Linked DNA regions of Kluyveromyces lactis. The protein of the gene in region 1 purifies or fractionates together with the protein of each later gene. This does not show direct contact. Links are inferred from orthologs where the notes say so. Each region holds a gene or a part of one and is shown on either strand. Other genes may lie near its edges.

What was found.
Region 2: the proteins of FAR11 (region 1) and PPG1 purify together in Saccharomyces cerevisiae (affinity purification with western blotting; 3 studies listed by BioGRID, with this or other methods). This does not show direct contact. The link is inferred for Kluyveromyces lactis from reciprocal best matches to the Saccharomyces cerevisiae genes FAR11 and PPG1.

Annotation. Positions count from the first base shown.
Region 1 is NC_006042.1:2,261,781-2,266,085, forward strand, and holds FAR11 (Far11p), read right to left. Parts: upstream 2,814-4,305; coding exon 30-2,813; downstream 1-29. Other genes in the region: LSM12 (Lsm12p), read left to right, coding at 3,222-3,779; TEP1 (putative phosphatidylinositol-3,4,5-trisphosphate 3-phosphatase), read right to left, coding at 3,939-4,305. UniProt on the Saccharomyces cerevisiae protein: Participates in the control of the reentry into the cell cycle following pheromone treatment.
Region 2 is NC_006039.1:742,278-745,120, forward strand, and holds PPG1 (putative serine/threonine-protein kinase PPG1), read right to left. Parts: upstream 1,647-2,843; coding exon 612-1,646; downstream 1-611. Other genes in the region: ubiquitin-like protein HUB1, read left to right, coding at 253-477; mitogen-activated protein kinase kinase kinase SSK2, read left to right, coding at 2,277-2,843. UniProt on the Saccharomyces cerevisiae protein: Involved in glycogen accumulation.

The DNA of each region.
Region 1 (4,305 bases):
TTGTTTAACTTATTATTATGCCATATTTTTTAATAAGGAGCAGAGAGTAGTTCAGCCTCCCTTGAAAAGAAAGAGTTAGAGAATTTGTCATCGTACCCGCAATGTTCCATAGTTCTTTTATAGTGATAGAAATTGTAGAATTGCAGCATGGCCCGTAAAGCAATTTCTTGGCCATAGGAATCGTTGATCTCGCCCGTGATATCCTTCCCTGTTATCCAGTTATCTGTTAAATGAAGTTTCTCATGTAAGAACACTCCAGAAATCAATTCCATATGATCTGCCCTCCATCTTTTATTCTTGAATGGTGCCAATTCGTGAATTATCTTTAATATGGGGTGGTATATGTCCAGATTAAAGATAGAATACAATGCCTTGAATATGTTACTAACATTAAGTGGTAGGTCTTTTAGCCTTTGTGTCTTTTTCCCAGTTATTTTGGATAACACTCGTAATAGATACACCTCGGAATTGAGCATTCGGAGATTTAATCTGTTTGCTTTCTCATTTGCGGTTGATATCTCAAGAGTTTCTTTATATTGAACATTGTATAAAGAACATTCACTCCAAAAAGAATGGGTAGGTTGTAAATGTTTAGAGTAAATTCTGTTTTGATATTGATCAGTAAAAGATTGAAGGATGCCTACGCTTGTCGTAATGAACTTTGAATCGTAAATCAACGAGCAAAGATACTCAAATTTAAGAAAGTGGCTAACCTTAAACCATTTTAAAAGGAGGAAAAGTATGGCAGAACTCGATTCCATTGCAATTTCCTTTGATCTTATAAGTTCCAATTGTGGTTGAAGCTCATTAATTTCTTCTTCAGAAAAATCCTCTTCAAGGTATACTTTGTTTGACATACAAGTTTCAATAGTTTCTAATAGAACATATACTAGAGATGAAAAATGGGGTAAAGCATTAGCATAATAATCTTCGATGCGATTCATGGTTTCAGGTTCCTCATTCTGTATACCTCTATACGTGAATGGGTCCTTCTCATGTACCTCAGTGTTTGTCCATCCTCGTTCTTGCACCATAAATAATTCTCTTTCATGCCATAGTTGTTTAGTAGATAGTTTTATATGCACAGATTTTGACAAAATTTCGATTGCTTCTTGCATGTTATACGGTAACACTGTCTCAGGCACCGCAATACTCAGCTTATTACTAAGTTCGTCTACCACACCAGTATCATAGTCACCAGAGGATGGAAAAAATGCTGGATATGATAAATTGGCTTGAAATGACTTCCTCGTTTTCAATCCGTTGGGCGAGCTTGTGGGTGATGCCGGCTGTGATGGTGCAGGCGTTGCCATATGCACTTGTGGCTCTCCCAACGACATGTTAGAACTGCTCCTCGAACGGGGTCTCGGAATCTCTAAAAATTGTGAAAGAGAATTGGGGTTGTCAAGCATGCTAGGATATGTCGGTTCTGGAAGCTGAGAAGATGGAAATCTTGAGGTGATATCTTCCCTAAAAGCAACATATTCCAATGGAGATATTGAAAGATTCGAAGCAGAGGAGTCTTTCTTTTCAATTTTGTGATGTTGAAGAACAAATCTCTTCACTGCGTCATAATGGCTCTCTTCACCAAACTGTAATAGAAGCACTTTATGGAATAAAATAATGATATTTCTTATTCTCATTGAGAGTCGACTTTTCCAACGCCAATGGTCTATATATTTTGTAAGGAAAAGCATCAAGCCAGATGAATGTACGACATCAATAAAATCTTCTACAGCTTTGGTGTGCATGCTTCTTTGCTCAATAGCTATATTGATCATAAAATAAGTGATTGAACCCGAGTAGAACAAAAGAGTATTATATTGTTGCAAATTAGTGTTCTTCACCCTACAACAATCTGCATGTTTCTTAAAGCAAGGTAAGAGTACCTTTGAAATCATCATCAATAGAGTATTATTCCTCCGTAGAATGTCTAAATGATGGAAATAACTGTTCGTTTCCTGAAAAGTTCCGAAAGAAATATACGCCAGACAAAGCAAGGTATTGATATCCACTGAATTTACCTCTAGCTTTTTACCAAGCTCTGTAATAACTTGAATAGCGTATTTACGCTCTTCGATAAATTTCGAACTATCATAGTTTTTTTCAAAGCTCAACTTTGCAGTCTTTAAGCTCCCATAGTCCTTTTGTATGAACCATTCTGATAGTTCGTGAAATAATGAATTAAAATCGGAAGCCTGCCAATCTAACGTAGGCTTGGTAAATGAATGTGAAAGATCACCTCTTTCAATCTCGTCTGCTTTTTCTTGTAACAACTTCTTTAATGCATCGTCTACTGGTAAATTATTATCTTCTTCAACTTTGACATCCTCATATGTAATTATTTTATCTTTGTCATTCAATTCGGGTGAAACCTTCCTTAGTTGCTTCGGTGATGCTTGTCCGTTAGTATATGAATCATAACCTTGGAAATAATCTTTCAGGCTACCAGAACTAGAACTGGGGGAGATTGGTCCATCGATCTCATCGACATTTGCAAACTCTGAATCCTCATCATCTTCTTCCCCATTAGCATCATCCTGAGTATCAATAATCTCACTGCTATTGTTCGCTTCATTAGATTGTCTATCTGTGCCGTTGTTTTCATGCTGCAATTCATTTGAATCACCCAAATGTAATTTCTTGCTAAGTAAACTATCCAGATCATGGAATAAAGACGTATCCGAAGGGAAAGTCTGGTGTTCATTGGAGAGCTGTTTTGCAAATGGCGGTCTAGCCTGAGTCTTGCTCCTCAAATCTTTAGAAGACAAAGACTTCAATAGCGGAGATCTTGACCGCTGTGTCTCTGGCATTATCGCAATCCACAAATAATATTGGATTCCTTTCTATCTCTCAAATTGAATAATCGTTAATTCAATGTTGAAAAGAAAACAGCTCTTCAAGCCGCTATCAATAGAAAACCACGGGAGTAGTTCAGGCAATACCTCGCAATGTATTTGAACCACAAAAGTAACGTTTTCTAAAAAGTTTAAGTGTATAGTTGCAAACGTTCTTATTCTAACATGTCTGATTGAATGCGATGCTACTTTTTTTTGGATTTTGAGTAACTATTCAAATGCCTGAAAAATGTGATACACACAAATTAAAACTGAAAATCTGTAAGAAACAAATCGAATTTGACTCGTGATGTTCAATCGTGGAAGAGTGACCAGCAAGCTTTTCTGGCCGAAGCCGCTAGTTTATATTTGATTGCAAACTAAATGAGCATTTCTCTGGAGAATATTCTTGGCCTCAAAGTTAAAATTACTGATGTTTTAGACCATGTAACGCAAGGAAAAGTGTATTCATTCAACTCAAATAATGACACCATCACTTTGATTGTGGGCAAGAAAAATAAAGCATACACATTTGAGATCATTCAGACCTCATTTATCAAGCATCTGGAACTAGTAGGAGAGAAGGCTAATCCGTCTAGTTTCAAGAAAGATCATGTAAAACCGTCATACGTTGATCTCGATAGAGTGAAAAATGCATTGGCTAAGACAATAGACACAGCTGCTAAAAAGGAAATGTCAATTGGAAAAAATGTTTCCTATGAGGGTCAATTTATATTTGATCTCATTCATAAGACTATATCAGATATAGTATGGAAGGGAAAATCCATTGTCGTTCTTGATGAGCTGGAAATAAATCCGCCGTATCAGCTTGGTAGCATTAAACCATTGCAAGGCAGAACTGATGTCAAATCAAAAGAGTTGATAGATAAGATTGTTGAATCTGCATGGAATAAATTAGAGAACGAAAGAAAAGGCGGATGATGCCGGATGTCAATGTAAAAATATATAGTTTATTTATTTACAGATTAAAATTTAACTTATTTCGTTCGGAATTAAAACTGGATAGAATACACATCGCCTTAGATGATGCCCACTAGGAGCAATCTCTAGCTTGTCCTTCGATTAACGTCACTCCGAATTTCAAAGTAACATCCACCGGATAGAAATTGAATCGAATAATTTAAGACCTTTCCCAGAGGTTCCTTTAAACCCATCAAGTTCCTCCCATGGAATATAAAACTCAAATCGTTCATTCTTAGGTAAAATGTAGTTGGAGTCATTATCAAGGTTCTTTGACTGAAGCACAGATTCCCAATAAAGATTTAACCAGCAACTTGAAAAAGAGCTTAGGTGAGAGACGTTGTTTATAAATTGCGAGGTCTTTGAACGGATTCCAAATGATAAACGGATATCTGAGAAAGTTACGTTGATATTTGGAACTATTATTTGCTTTGAAGTTAACGACCTTAATGATCCCTTGCCTGTAGAACACTGCTTGGAGAATAAA
Region 2 (2,843 bases), on another chromosome or scaffold:
GTTTTTGGACAATCGTGTTGCTTGTCAGCTCAAGACTATTCAATGGGTAATGTTTACTTCCTTGTGTGGCAGAAGTAATATAAATGTGTCGATGAGCAGAGAGTTCTTACTTTTTTATTTCTACTATTACGAAATTATATAGAAAAGAATGTATTATAAACATGCTGAGCACTAAATGATTGAAGAACAGAAGCTCTTTAAACACGTTTATTCCGTGTTTCATACCATTGAGTTTGAATAGACAAATTTAATATGATTGAAGTACTAGTAAACGATCGTCTTGGAAAAAAAGTCAATGTAAAATGTTTAAGCGAAGATACTGTTGGTGATTTTAAGAAGGTATTGAGTGTACAATTGGGGACTGCGTCAGCATCCAAGATTGTGCTACAAAAAGGTGGTAGCGTATTGAAAGATCACATAACTTTAGAAGATTATGAAGTTCACGACGGAACTAATTTGGAGTTGTATTATGTGTAAGTTTGTAAAAACATATATGATTTATCTATAAAAATTAGCTTGTATATTATACTCAATATTTGAATATGAGATGGGACTATACCATTAGCGAAAGGGAAAAAAGAGTTAGAGATAAGCATACAGTTACATTTGCTTCATAAAAAATAGTCAACTTGTCTTTTCAGAGCATATTTTGCTTGGTGCTCATCGGAGAATACGTCATATTGCCCCATGTGTGCATCGTCATCTTCTTCGAAGAAGGAATGTAAAGTTTTATCATTAAGCATTGGATCTGTAAGTAGTTTATTTTCTGGAGCTTCATCGAACACGTTAAAGTGAAAGTCTGTTGGTGAGTATAATTCTAAAATAGATGCTTTATTCCCACAACGATAACAGTAATTGGGAGCGGACCAAACAGTGGTGACTTTCCCTCCAAAATAATCCTGATATCCCTCGTTACATAGTTGATGAGCTCTGAGCATCTTTGTGACACCATTGATGCTAAAAAATTTGTCCACTATAGCTTTACCGAAAGTGTAACCAGCACCTCTCGGTGAGACTTTGAATTGTGAAGAAGTGATATCGTTTCTGTCGTCTTCAGGGTCTGACCAGACCAAATCTGCCATGGCGCCATCATGTGGGATTTCTCTGATCCTATCGATAATCCGTATTTGATCAATGGATTGAATATTGGGTGAAAGTCCACCATGAACGCAGAAAATTGTATCATCAATGATACATGCAAGAATCAAATAATCGAATAGATCCGTGAAATACTGCCATACTTGACTTCCCTCGCCAAATTTGTTCAAACATTCCGTATAAAAACCATAACTCTGGGTGATCTGACGTGATTCATGATTACCACGAATTAGATGAATACGGCTTGGATATCTAAGCTTTAACGTTATCAGCAAAGTAATTGTCTCCACACTGTACAACCCTCTGTCGACATAATCACCCAAAAACACGTAATTTGTGGACGGCAGAGGTCCACCAATATGGAATATCTCTAAAAGATCATGGAATTGACCGTGAATGTCACCAACAACAGTCACAGGCGTACTGATATGAACAACATTAGATTCTCTCACTAGCAATTCCTTTAATTTGAAACACAACGCCCTGATCGTCTCAGCAGGAAGTAGTTTCCCCTCATATAGCTGTTCCAAACACCAATCGAGTTCCATAAATATGATATGTAATATCCTCAGTACGGATTGAAATTTTTTGACAGCTCACTAATGGGATATTTTATCCTCCCTTAATGCATGGATCCCAACGCTAGCTAGAATACCTTAAGATGCCCAACAGATAAACCTTACCACCTAGCGATGAGTCGTTCACCCCATATTCTTTGTTTAGCAAACTTTACGGCTGGAAAGATTTCAACTTTTCTTTGTAAAAATCAATAACATTAAAAAAAAAAAAATTATCATGTCAAGAACCAAATTAAAGGTTCATAGGTACCGAGCAAAGTAGCTAAAGTGTGCCAGCCATTCGGATTAGAACAGCGACGAGATCGTTATAAAGATAGGTTATAATTGCTAAGAAACACAACTGGTGTGCGGCAAACTCGAAATAAAGGGGATTTGCTTTGTAATTTTCGGGGCTACTTGTCAATTCATTGTCTATAAGGGCATTCTTCCCGGTCTTTCAGAGATTACACAATCTTAAGGAAGAAAGAGAATTGGTGGATTTTTTAAAGGGCCACTTTTACGTTTGTACTGTACAACAAAGTAACGCTCTGTTTTTTGCTTTATCTGTTTTCCTTCACGTTTGGTTTAGATTGAGCCTCTCTCAGTTCGTCGTTTAAAGCCATGTCGCAAAACAACGATAGCAGAGACGAGGCATATGTCAGGGAGCAATTCCAAAGATATACGACTAAGATGGCTTCTAATAAGAATTCCAATACTGATTCGAAATGTAGAAGTACTTCACATCTGAATTCGCTGGCTTCGATTTCAAGTGACACTTCAAATGAAACTTTAAAGGGAAATTTATCAGCAGCTTCGCCTACGTTTTCATCAGATTCTACTCTGAGTACTAAAAAACTGCCAGTTCTACAGACGCTTCCGACATCTCTGCCAAATGGACAGCATCAACAGGGGCAGCTCTTTCCTGCTTCTTCTTCAAGCTCCTCAGCAATATCTTCAAGGAAACCAAGTGTGTCTGGTTCCTTTGGAACGCAGACTCCGACTACAGCTCAGTTGAAAACTATAACATCGCCCAAACTCAGCGGTGCACTTTCAACAAGGTCAAGGTCTAATTCGCTCACAAGCTCCAAACTATTTGCGCTGAACCAATCCAATGATTCTCCGTCATCGACCTCGGTTTATCCCGTACCGCCTAATGTCGCTTCGTTGAACTCTCAAACAGCTAGTTCA